2 linked regions of the Diceros bicornis minor genome follow. The protein of the gene in region 1 interacts with the protein of each later gene in a biochemical or structural test. Links are inferred from orthologs where the notes say so. Each region holds a gene or a part of one and is shown on either strand. Other genes may lie near its edges.

Region 1 (7,089 bases):
GCTGAGGCCGTGTCTCACATACAGCAACTAGAAGTATGTGCAGCTATGATATACAACTATCTACTGGGGCTTTGGGGGGGGAAATAAATAAATAAATAAAATTATTAAAAAAAAAGATAGAATTCAGCTATTCCTATGGCCCCAAAGGATCTCCTGAGCAATCAGAAAGTTTTACAATCCAGAATCCAGGCTGGAAACCAAAGCCTCAAAGTCTGGAGATTTCAAAAGCCTGTCTGAATTGCACCTCTGATGCAAAAAAAGCTAATACATTTTACTGAATTGCTTTACCGCTAAACTCTCGAATGTCCTTTGAAAATAAGAAATAGTAATAACGGTTCACATTAGTTCCATGTACCAAGTGCCAAGCAGTGTGTTAAATGCTTCCTATGCTGTCTCATTGCATCTTCACAACAACCAATCACACAGGCACGCTCAGTTTCCTATCAGAAACACTGAGGTGTGGAGAGAAGCCCCTTGCCCAAGGTCACCCAGCTAGTTAGTGGCAAAGCCAGTATTTGAACCTAGGTCTCCAGGCTCCAGAACCAACACTCTTAACCCTATGGCAGACTGCAAGTCAAACCCTCAGATATTACACTACTGGTCCATCCCCAGAATACTAAAGATGAGGAACTAGTGGCCCAGAGAGGGGAGGTCATTATTCCGAGATCACACAACAAATTGGTGGCAGAGGTGGACTGGAACGCTTCTCCTGACCCCCACACAGGCCCAAAGGTTTGTTCATTGCACTGCACAGAGCTGGAGGCCTAGGAAAGGAAGGGGCTTCTATTTATATCTGCCCTCATCCCCCTGAAGCTAGGGACTTCAGTTCGGTTTCAAGCTATGATCATTCCTGGCTGCCTTGGGCTAAGCTAGACCCTATAGGGGAGGTCACCATGGCAACAGGAGCCCAGTCTCCAACCACCAAGAACTGAATGGAGCTGGTACTTGCCCTGATGCCTCCTAAAAGAACCTTTACACACACACACACACACACACCCGGAAATATGGAGCTGGGAAGTAACTTTATGTGACCTTGGAAAGTCCCTGCTCATCTCCAAGTCTCAGTTTGTCCAACTGCAAAATGGAACTCTATATGAACTCTAAGTTCCTTCTTGCTTTGACACACTGAGTGTACAATTTCTGGATTGATCTGTTGCCCTATCGCATGTGGGAGTTTGGAGGCAAGACTGGTGCTCACTCCCTGGCTTCCCTATTTTCCCCTTTTCGATGCTTTGGTTGGGTTCCAGAGGGCAGAACCAACTCCCCTGGGCACTCTATAGTGTCCTGATAATTGACGTTCGAATCCCTGCCACTCGGTGACTGTATGATCCTGGTTAAAATCATTTTACTTCTCTGAGTCTCAGTTTCTTAACGCGCAAAATGGGGATTACGCTCCCTACCTTCCACCACTTGTTGCCAGGATGAAGTGGATCGTGAGCCTAGAGTTCTGGGCACAGCAGTCAGCACACAGTGGTAGCCGAGTCACCACCATCCCCAGCCCCTCACCCAAGCCAAAGGGTCTGGAGGCACTAGTGAACAAGAGCCAGCACCAGGGAGGGGGAACAGTGCATATCCAGGGTGACACAAGGGCTAACACCCTTTCCCAAGGCAGGTAGTACCCTGCTGGGAGCTGAGACCCTGAGAAGCAGATGGGTAGGAACGGTGAAACCAACAGCTGGTGGTGTGCAGGGATTTCAAGCGCTATGGTTAGTTGCTTTGGGAGTCTCTCCTGACCTCCATTTTTTCTCTCATCTAACAGCAATAATTAACCAGGCACCTACTATGTGCAGCAGGGTGAGTACTTTAGATCCCTGTTTTCACAGAAACATCACAACTCTCTCATTATCCTCATTATATAGTTGAAGAAACTGAGGTTTAGAGATGGGAGGTGACTTGTCCAAGTTCACATAGCTGATCCCCGACTCAAACAAATCTGGTTGCACCCTAAGGAAAGCTGTCAGTATTGGGGGCTGGCAGTTCTCAGAGAGGAGGAGGGCTCTATGTCCACGCCTCTCAATCCCGTGCAAGGTAGAGATGGTCAGGTCAGGAAACTGAAACCCAGTTGTTAGGACTCTCCGCCTAGGTACACAGCCTTCTGGACCCTGTCTGTGAGCCCAGCCGGTGCTTCCACCTACGTCTCTGATTCCCTGCCCCATCCCCTGCCCCGCTGTGCTCCCGACTTCAGGCCTCACCCCCGCGCCCCGCTACCTCGGTTACGCCTCAGGGACTTCCCCTCCCTGCCCTAGCAGCGACCCAGGCCTCAATTCTCTTTCTGCATCCTTTGCTCTCCCGGGGCCCCTCTTGTCCTTGATGCCCACGCAACCCCTGAGAGGCAACCCCTCTGAGATCTCTACGCCTCCACACAAAACTCCCCAACCACGTGTCCTTGGTGCGCCCCCAATCCCTTCCACACCTGTGCCTTCCGACTGAGACCTCTGACTCCCCAAACCCCCTCCGACCTTGGTGCTCCCCACGCTCTCGGTTCCCTCTGTCCGCTCAGACCCCTTGCCCCAGACAGAAGTCCTCCAACTCCATGTCCTCGGCACGCTGCCAGCCCCCGCGGCCCCTGCGCCCTCGGCGGCCCCAGAGACACCACGGCCCCTCGCCCTCGGTGCCCCCGCGCCCACCTTTGATGCTGATGCCCAGCCCGCCGGCGTCGGCCTTGCGCACCGTCACGCGGCGCCGCTGGAGCAGCAGCGCCTCGGGCGGCTGCGGGGGCGCCGCACTCGGCTCGGCGGCGCCGTTGAGCTGCGCGGGCTCCGATTCCCGCGGGGCGCCGGGCTCCGGGCCGGGCTCGCCGACGGCGGGGCTCACGGTCAGCGCGTCCTCCGCCAGACTGAGCAGCACCCGCTGCCACCGCTCGCCGCCGGCCCCCGAGCCCGCCCCGGCGCGCAGTTCCAGCAGCCCGGTGCGCGGGGCGCGCCTGCCTGACGCCATCTTCGCCTCCGAGCCCCCAAGCCTCCTGCCCGGCCCGCTCCGACCGAGCGCCCAGGGCAGAGGGCAGCGGCGGCCCGGCTGGGCCAGCCGCCACCCTACCCCCGGCCGCTGGGGGTGGAGCCTCGAGGGGCGGGGCTGTCTGGGGGTGTGGCTAACCGCGAGGGCGTGGCCGCAAGCAAGCTGGCGGGAGGCTGGGGCGGGGCCCAGGAGCCGAAGGATGCCCTGTGAGACTGCTTGGGGGGTGGGGTCGTAAGGCGCCGGGGCGGGGCCACGAAGCAAGGAGACGAGCAGGTGAGGTGCTGGAGCTGAGCCCGGCCATGCAGGGGGCGGGGCTTCGTGCCGGGGGCGGAGCCCTAGGATCCTGTGGAGGAGACTCCGCGCTGGGCCTGGCCGTCGAGTGCTGGGACCGCAGCTCACGGACGTGGGAACCAAAGAAAAAGAGACGTGGATCCGAGTGCGAGGCTTTGGGCGTCGGAGCGAGGCTACATATGGAGGAGCGCTGGACTCCAGGGACAGGGCTTGAGTTTAAGAGGTGGACCCCGGTCTGCGAGGGACTTAGCCGGAAGGGTTGCTAATGAAGAGCTTTGGAAGGAGCTGGTTTCCCACTGTGGGGCTGGAGCTTTGGTCTGTAGGCTTGGCTTAGTGTGGGGCGTGGCTTCTAAAGCTGACATGCCCCGCCCGCAGGGATGAGCGTGCTGCTGGCTCAGGGCTTGGAGAAGGGGTGGACAACGTCCCCACTTTAAAGAGAGTTTAGGAGATTAACCCCCTGTTTTGTTCACAGCCGAATACAGAAAAGCCTGAAGTCCCACATTGAGAGACCTGGCCTGAGAAGAATCCAGAACTCCTGGTGTGAGGGAAGAGGGCTGGAAGTTGGGTTTCTGGGTCCAGGAGTCTGGAGACCTGGTTTAGGGTCCCTGCTCAGACACTGTTAGCTTCATGTCGACGGTGGTCCCATCACTTCACTTGTCTAAGCCTCAATTTCGTCATCTGTGAAATGGGGGTCATAATAATCCCTACCTCACAGGGCTTGTGTCAGGGTTAAATCAATGTGAAAACACATTGTCAACTGTAAATTCCTAGGCAATCAGTATAATCACTTTCATTTACTGAATGCTTACTATTGGCCCATATCTGAGCATTTTTGATGTGTTATCTCATCTTTACAGTAGACTCATGCAGTAGCTACAGTTAAGAATACCCCCATTATACAGAAGGGAGAACTTGGATTGAGAAGGTCTAATTGCGTGGTCACACATTTGTGAGTGGAGCAGAGCAGGGATTCAAACCCAGGCCTGTTTGACACCAGTGCCTGGGCACTGACCCACTCTGCTAGACAGCTGCAAAGTACAGAAGTGAGGCGTAATTGTTATCAGAAAAATCCCAGCACACTGCACACCTCAACCCGCCCTCATATCTGCCCCTTGTCTCCATCCCCCCACTCCTACCTGGGATGTGTTGGGCAAAAATTGTTAGGGCCACATCAATGTGTAGACTCCCTGCACCTTCAGGTAGAAGCCTCCACATAAGATACCATCAAGATGGCCAACAGGCACATGAAAAGGTGTTCAACATCACTAATTTGGGAAATGCAAGTCAAAACCACAATGAGATATCACCTCACACCCGTCAGAATGGCTATTATTAAAAAGACAAGAAATAACAAGCGTTGGAGAGGATGTGGAGAAAAGGGAACCCTCGTACATTGTTGGTGGGAATGTAAATTGCTGCAGCCACTATGGAAAACAGTAGGGAAATTCCTCAAAAAATTAAAAATAAAACTACCATAGGGTCTAGCAATGCCACTTCTGCGTATTTATCCAAAGAAGAGGAAAATACTAATTCAAAAAGATATATGCACCCCTATGTTCATTGCAGCATTATTCACAATAGCCAAGACTTGGAAACAACCTAAGTGTCCATCCATGGATGAATGGATAAAGAAGATGTGGTATATATATACAATGAAATACTACTCAGCTTTAAAAAAAGATGAAATCTGGGGCCGGCCCCGTGGCTTAGGGGTTAAGTGCGCGCACTCTGCTGCTGGCCGCCCAAGTTCAGATCCCGGGCGCGCACCAACGCACTGCTTGTCCAGCCATGCTGAGGCAGCATCCCACATACAGCAAGTAGAAGGACGTGCAACTATGACATGCAACTATCTACTGGGGCTTTGGGGAGAAAAAGGGAAAAAAAAAAAAAGGAGGAGGATTGGCAATAGATGTTAGCTCAGGGCTGGTCTTCCTCAGCAAAAAGAGGAGGATTGGCATGGATGTTAGTTCAGGGCTAACCTTCCTCACACACACACACACAAAAAGATGAAATCTTGCCATTCATGACAACATGGATGGACCTTGAAGGTATTATGCTAAGTGAAATAAGTCAGATGGAGAAGGACAAATACTGTATGATTTCACTCATATGTGGAAGATAAACACATAGATACAAGAACAGATTGTCAGTCACCAGAGGGGAAGGGGGTAAGGAGAGGGCAAAAGGGGTAAAGGGGCACATGTGTACAGTGACAGATGGCAACTAGACTTTTGGTGGAGAACATGATATAGTCTATACAGAAGTTGAAATATAATGATGTACACCTGAAATTAATATGTTATAAACAAATGTTACCTTAATAAAAAAAACAAGATACCATCAAGAAAAAAAAACACAAGAAAACAGGTACGTATACAAATTGTCCACAGCAAACTTATGTTTGCAAATAACCAGAGATGAACCCAAGTGTCCAACCACAGGGGAATGGCTCTATACCACCAAAATCCGCTGAGGCCATGTACATAATACATGTATGTATTATACGCACAAGTACATAAAATATATAGATGCCATTTATTCAGTTTGTTATACATTGGCACATGAGCTGGCTGATTTTGTACATTGTCATTTAAACTTCACATAAATCCTGCACAGCCTGCATATTATCCCCTTTTTATAGATGAGAAAATTGAGGCACACCACTAGTAAGAACAGACCTCTAGGGGCCAGCCCCGTGGCTTAGTGGTTAAGTGCGCGCGCTCCGCTACTGGCGGCCCGGGTTCGGATCCCGGGTGCGCACCGAGGCACCGCTTCTCTGGCCATGCTGAGGCCGCGTCCCACATACAGCAACTAGAAGGATGTGCAACTATGACATACAACTATCTACTGGGGCTTTGGGGGAAAAAAAAGGAGGAGGATTGGCAATAGATGTTAGCTCAGAGCCAGTCTTCCTCAGCAAAAAAAGAGGAGGATTAGCATGGATGTTAGCTCAGGGCTGATCTTCCTCACAAAAAAAAAAAAGAACAGACCTCCATTCTAATTTGGGTCTGTCTGGCTTCCAAGCCCATATCCCTCCTACTCCACCTTTCTGCAGGCCACATAGCAGCAAGGGATGCGTTTACAATCCATTCATTCATTCAACAATATTTATTGAACATCCACTATGTGCCAGACACAGTACTAGGTGCAGAGATTCAGCTGTAAACGATAGGCTCACTGAACATACCATCCCCTGGGAGGCAGGATCCCATGGTGGTCAAGAGCATGAGCTTTGGATTCTGATTTTCTGTGTTCAAATTCTCACTGTGCCTCTTTTTTTTTTTTTCCCCCTGTGAGGAAGATTGGCCCTGGGCTAACATCCATGCCCATCTTCCTCGACTTTATATGTGGGACGCCTGCCACAGCATGGCTTGATAAGCGGTGTGTGGGTCCACACCTGGGATCCAAACCTGCAAACCCCGGGCCGCTGAAGCAGAGCATGCGAACTTAACCACTATACCACCAGGCCAGCCCCTCGCTGTGCCTCTTTCTATCTTTGTGATCCTGGGTGACTTATTTAACCCTTAAGCTTCAATTTCATAGCCTATAAAATGGGGTATTAAAATCACTATCCCAGAGATTGGATATTGGAATGAATAAAATAATGCTGGTAAACTGCTTAGCATAATTATTGTACATAGAAAGCATTCGAAAAAATATGAGTTGTGGGGCGTCCCACATAAATATGGCGGCATCCCATGTAAAGTAGAGGAAGATGGGCACGGATGTTAGCCCAGGGCCAATCTTCCTCAGCAAAAAGAGGAGGATTGGCAACAGATGTTAGCTCAGGGCTAATTCCTCACAAAAAAAATAAAACACGAATTGTAATTATCCTGGAAAACA
Region 2 (6,074 bases), on another chromosome or scaffold:
CCTGTTGGTGTCTCTCACTCTCTCTAGCTCTTCTTCCCAGCCCTCCATCTTCAACCAGCCTACTCCTAATGGACCATATACTTTATTAAAAATATATAGTTACAAACTCCATTGTCAATCTGGGCTGGGCCCGGGGGCCCGGAGGGACCGCAGGGAGGGACTGGCCCTCATCCTGCCCCTCGGGGTCCCACCTCTGCACTCAAGCCCAACACCATCCAGGGGCCAAGACGGCTGGCTTTGAGGGCCTCAGGGAGCAGCCAGTGGGGCAGGGGGAAGGGCTAGGCTTGCCTGGCCGGGAGGGGGAGGGGGCACAGAGAGGGACCACACCGCCTCGTCCTGCAGGTACCAATGGCAGAAGGTGGATTTGGTGCCTCCATCTCTCTCCATTTATAGATATTTACAAAAGAAAGTCATGAGCAACAGGCCACAGTCATGCAAAAGAAGCGCACCCCCCTCCCTCCCTCCCCCAAACTAACCCCCTGCCCACCCCAGAACACCATGATGCCCACCCCCCCAGCAGTCCAGCCGCCTTCCCCAAGGTTCTGAGAGCAAAAGGGGCACGTCCTTGAAGGGTCAGTGGGGAAAGGGTGGTGGGTCTGGGGTCCCTAAGCTGCCAGTGGGTAGGTGCTGGGGGACCCGGGCTGACAGGGCGGAGAGTATCCGGGCCCTTCCCAGGCCTAGGCTCCGGAGTCAGGAGGAAGGGACTTTGAAGTCCCAGTCTTTGAGGCCCCCACGTCCCTCCAGAAGGTCCATGGAACCAGGGTCAGCTCTGTCCTGAGTGCGGAGGGGGTGTCCTGGTGTCCCACCCCCAGCAGAGGCTCTTGTGGGAAGCAGCGAGGGCAGGGCCTGGAGGTCAGATGGCGGACTCCCTGCGGTAGGAGATGTTGTCCAGCGGGAGGGTGGCCTGCATGCGCTCCAGATCCAGGTGGCTGCCAAACTCCAGCATCCGGATGATGCCCGCCTCCTCCTTGGAGCCCGCCTCCAGGCCCAGGCCCGCGGCCACCGCGGCAGCGGCCGCTGCCTCCTCCTCCATCTCCTCTTCCTCTTGGCTCATGAGAGCCAGCTCGTTCTCGTAGCAGAAGGCACTGGGCGGGGGCGGCGGGGCGGGCAGGACGGTGATCTTGCTCTCCTGCAGCTCCCGGGCGGAGCAGCAGGGCGTGCCGGCCACCTCGTAGGTCTTATGGAAGCGCGAGTAGTCCACCTTGTAGTGGCTCTTCTCCTCGAAGACCACGGGCTCGAAGCGGTGGCCCCACAGGATCTCGCTGGCCAGGTAGGAGCTGCGGGCCTGGGTGGTCATGGCGGTGGCCTCCACCATGCCCTCGAGGATGACCACGATCTCAAAGTCCTCCGACTCCAGCTCCTCCTTGCCCATGCCGTAGAGCGGGCTGTCCTCATCAATCTCATGGACGATGATGATGGGCGACACCAGGAAGATTCGGTCCAGGCCGATGTCGTAGCCCACGTTGAGGTCCCGCTGGTCCAGCGGCAGATACTCGCCCTCCTGGGTCATGTAGGGCTTGATGAGCTGGGCCCGCACGTGGGCCTCCACGATGTGGCTCTTGCGCAGGTTGCCCACGCGCCACATCAGGCAGAGCTTGCCGTCGCGCACCGAGATGACCGCGTGGTGGCTGAACAGCAGCGTCTGCGCCCGCTTCTTGGGGCGAGCCATCTTGGCCATGATGGTGCCGATCATGAAGGAGTCGATGACGCAGCCCACGATGGACTGGACCACCACGGCGATGACCGCCAGCGGGCACTCCTCCGTCACGCACCGGAACCCGTAGCCGATGGTCGTCTGCGTCTCCACCGAGAACAGGAAGGCGCCCAGGAAGCCGTTCACGTGCATGATGCAGGGTTTGGGGGCCACCGGAGCCGCCCCGCCGCTGCCCGCAGGCGCCCCCGCCGCAGCCACCGCTGGGCCGGCCTCCAGGTCACCGTGGAAGAAGGCGATGCACCAGAAGAGCAGGCCGAAAAAGAGCCAGGAGACGAGGAAGGCCGCGGAGAAGATCATGAGCATGTAGCGCCAGCGCGTGTCCACGCAGGTGGTGAAGATGTCCGCCATGTAGCGCTGCGACTTGTTGCTCAGGTTGGCGAAGTACACGTTGCATTGGCCGTTCTTCTTGACGAAGCGGTTGCGGCGCTTCCGCCGAGGCACGTGCGCCTGCCCGTTGCGGCTGTGCGCGTGCATGTCCTGAAGCCGGCGTGCTCACCTGGGAAGACGCGGGGCCTGGGGAGGAGAAACCAGACGGGTGAGATGCTGGCGGCGAGCGGCTGCAGCGGCGGCCTCTCCGAGGGCCCCGGGGCGCCCAGGCTCGGGGGCGGCAAGGCGCCTGTCCAGAGACGCCCAGGAAGGGGAGAGTCGGGACTAGAACCCAAGACTTGCACCGCCCGGTGGGCAGAAGGGGACAGTTAGGTGGTTCTGACGACAGGGAGGGAGTGTCGGGCCTGAGCCAGTGCCTCCGAGGCTGGCCCGGCTCCAGAAGCTGAGGCCACCAGGATCCAGGTCCCAGTCCCAGCCCCTCACTCCGCCCCCTCAACCCTCCTTCGCCCCTGTTCCCGGAGCTTCCTGATGCCCATCTGGGCTCTGCCCTCCCACCATTTGTCCCCTTTGCCTGGAGCAGAGGGAGCTCTGGCCCCCTCACCTCCTTGGGTTCAGCCTCTGCCCTCTTGGGTCCCTCGGGGGCTGGACATTCTCCTGTGCTGTCCAGTACAGCAGCCACTGGCCACCTGTGGCTCTTACATGTACTTAGAATTAAATAAAATTCTGACTTCGGTTCCCAGTTGCACTAGCCACATTTCACGTGCTCAGTGGCCACATGTGGCTAATGGCTACCATACTAGACAGAGCAGACATTTCCCTCAGGGCAGAAAGTTCGACTGGACAGTGCTGGGGCCCACAGCCCCTTCTTGGTTCCTGTCCTGTCCCCAAACTTGTTGGGAGGAGTGGTGGGTGGAGACTCCACTGGTGGTGGTCCCAGTGGAGGAAGAGGGAGCCCCGAGCTTTGGCTCCTGTGTAGGTATCGGTGTTCCCATGTCACAGGTGAGGGAACAGGGGCTCAGAGAGAGGAAGTGACCTACCCAAGCCCACACAGCTGGTAAGTGGGTCCAAACCCAGGTGTGTCTAGCTCTTCAGGCCCTGGGTGGTGGCAACATCGATGAGCTCACGGTGTGCAGACCCGAAGAGGGGGAGGCAGACACATCTGCTGCCTAGCTGTGTCACCTCGGACGACTCACTTCACCTCTCTGAGCCTCAGTTTCCTCATCTGTAAAGTAAGAATCAAAACTCCACCACAAGACCCAGGGAGAGAGCGGGTGCTCAGTTTAAGCCAGTCGCCCTCCTGCCTTCCTTGCCGCTTCCCGGGTGTGGGGGGGTGGGGGGAGAAGCTGGTGAGAGGCAGGATTCGCCTGTCAGCGTCCCCAGCTGTTCCAGTGGAGGCAGCCCCTCACCCCGCCGGGTGGCAGGCGCAGCAGCTGGGCCCTTGGAAGGCAGACCCTCCCTCCACCCTCTTTCCCACTGGGGCCCCAGGAGAGAGATGGTGCTGCCCAGGGCCCCAGCAGCTGGCAGGGCCAGGCCCGGGCCTGGGTTCCCGGTAACATTTTGGCCCAGAATTATATAAGGCTGGAAGTTTCTATTTTCTGTCCTATTCTTCTTCCTGATCTAATTGTGCATCTGTGGCAATGTTTATACACTTCCCCGGTTCAGGACAACTCGGTTGCCCCGGCAACCAGTGCGCGCCAACGCTGTAATTTAGAGATCAACAGCTTCAGAGCCTGCCTCTGCCAGGGAGAAACTCCCTCTCTGCGCCCAGGGAGAGTGAGCCCTGCCCTCCTCCCCCACAGTCACCCCACCCCGACTCTGGGTTCTTCTCCCTTCCCCCCTCAAAAGGAGCTCCCTGGGTCCCACAGTCCTGAATTGAAGTCCCAGATCCACCACATAACTTGGGCAAGTTACTTGACTGCTCTGAACCTCAGTTTCCTCATCTGGAAAATGGGACCAGTGAGACCCATCAGTCTGAACAGGTAATGTGGATGTGCATACTGGCCCCCAAGAGGTTACAACTTTAGCTGGGAGTCCCAGACCCTGTCTGCCCCCTACCCAGAGTCCTGATAGCCAGGGCTCCAGGTGGCAGCCCTAGGGGACTGGGGGCCAGGTGCACCTTCTAGACTATAAATAGTTTTCAGGGGGTCTTCCTTCGCCACACATCTCCGACTCGACTCTGTCCTGCTGTCTTGAATGCCTCCATTAGCACCACAGAAGGAACTAGAGCCAGGAGGAACGGAAGATCACTGATTTCAAGACCCTCATTTTACATCTGAGGCCGAGGAAGCCCAGAGCTGGGACGGACTTGCTAAGGGTCCCAGAGCGAGACAGGGTGGGCCAGCCCTGAGCCCGTCTCCTCACTCCCACTCCTGGAAGAAGGTCAAGGTGCTCCTGGGCAGAGGAGCTGCCTCCCTGGAGGGGGCTGGGGTGGAGTTTGGGGCTAGGGAAGAGAGGGCCCCAGCCCGGCCCCGGGAGGCCCTGGGCCCACCTGCCACAGGTGTCCGGGAGACAGGCAGGGGGGACAAGGTGTGGTGACCTGGGGCTTTGATGGGTGAGGACACTGAGGCCCAGGGAGGGTGAGGGCCCCGCCCAAGGCCACACAGGAGCCCAGGGTGCGGGGCCCCTGGTCCTCTGCCACAGGGAAGGGCTCTGGTCTGGGGGCTTCATCTTGTGCTGCAGGAGAGGGCTCTTCATGGGGCTCCACCCTCTAGCAGGGCCCTGGGTGCGAGGAGGGAGGGAGACCACCCCCCACGGCTCTAAGCTCTTGGTCCTCCCCTCGCCAGCATGGCCCAGTGTTTCCCATTCATGAGTGGAAGTGACTGGAATCTCAGCCACGCTCATGCCCCAGGGTCGGCCCGGAGGCTCCGCATGTCCCCACCCCGACACTCCCTCCGCCCCCACACCCCCTCCGCCCCCACACCCCCAACTTCAGTTCTCACCCCCTGCCCCTGCCCTGCCATCCCCGGGTCCCCCGACCCCCAGCAGCCCCCGCATCGTAGCCCGGTGGCGGCACAGCTTATCCTGTGTCTTATCCAGCTTCGCCTGTGTCAGCTCAGGTGACACTTGAAATGTCCACCCCTGGGCCGTTGGGAAAGCAGCCCCCAGGCACAGGTGCGCCCCTAGACTGCCATCCTCCACCACGAGGAGCCCATGTGCACTGGGCTGGTGAGCGCCCGGCCCTCGTCCGCAGTGACCTGCTCACATCAGGGAGCACTCCCGTCACCACGGGCTCCTTTGGCGGAAGTGAGAGGCTCGCCTGCCACCTGCACGATCCCAGACCAAAAAGTGAAACGTAGGAAGCATGGCGTTGTGCTTTCCTGTGACAACCACTGGGAGACTGGTCAGGGTGTCTTCCCTTATTTGTCACTTGGGGCTTCCTGCCCAAGGCACAAGGGCCCGAGGGAAAAGCGCAAAAGAGAAGGGGCACGGAGATGGAAGAGGGGCGAGAGGCACTGACAACTGGGTACCATCCTCCTCTGGATGTGGTTGTTTTATTAAGAGAGAGAGAGTGAACCCTGGTTGTTTAGGCGCCTGCGCCATGTCTACAGTTAAACCACCCTTTTATGGAAGGCAGGGGGCTGGTCTAACCCTCTTGCACCGAATGCGCCCTGTGAACACACAGGGAAGAACGTGGTTTCAGCACATTCCCTACGGGGGAGGCTCTGGGAGGCCGGGCCCCTCGCTCTGCCTTGCTGGGTGACCTCGGCCAAGTCCTTCCCCTTCCCGTCCGGGGTTCTTCCTCCAGTCTCTGTCCTTTGTTCTTTTTTTTTTTTTTTATGAGGAAGATCAGCCCTGAGCTAACATCCATGCTAATCCTCCTCTTTTTTGCTGAGGAAGACTGGCTCTGAGCTAACATCTATTGCCAATGCTCCTCCTTTTTTTTTTCCCCCAAAGCCCCAGTAGATAGTTGTGTGTCATAGTTGCACATCCTTCTAGTTGCTGTATGCGGGACGTGGCCTCAGCATGGCCGGAGAAGCGGTGCGTCAGTGCGCGCCTGGGATCCGAACCTGGGCTGCCAGTAGCGGAGCGCGTG

What was found.
Region 2: the proteins of SNTA1 (region 1) and KCNJ4 interact in a test that uses a peptide from one of them, tested with the Homo sapiens proteins (2 studies listed by BioGRID and IntAct). The link is inferred for Diceros bicornis minor from reciprocal best matches to the Homo sapiens genes SNTA1 and KCNJ4.

Annotation. Positions count from the first base shown.
Region 1 is NC_080758.1:26,311,216-26,318,304, reverse strand, and holds the start of SNTA1 (alpha-1-syntrophin), read right to left. Parts: upstream 3,014-7,089; 5' UTR 2,938-3,013; coding exon 2,628-2,937; intron 1-2,627. UniProt on the Homo sapiens protein: Adapter protein that binds to and probably organizes the subcellular localization of a variety of membrane proteins. May link various receptors to the actin cytoskeleton and the extracellular matrix via the dystrophin glycoprotein complex.
Region 2 is NC_080764.1:11,500,674-11,506,747, reverse strand, and holds KCNJ4 (inward rectifier potassium channel 4), read right to left. Parts: upstream 2,221-6,074; 5' UTR 2,189-2,220; coding exon 854-2,188; 3' UTR 516-853; downstream 1-515. UniProt on the Homo sapiens protein: Inward rectifier potassium channels are characterized by a greater tendency to allow potassium to flow into the cell rather than out of it.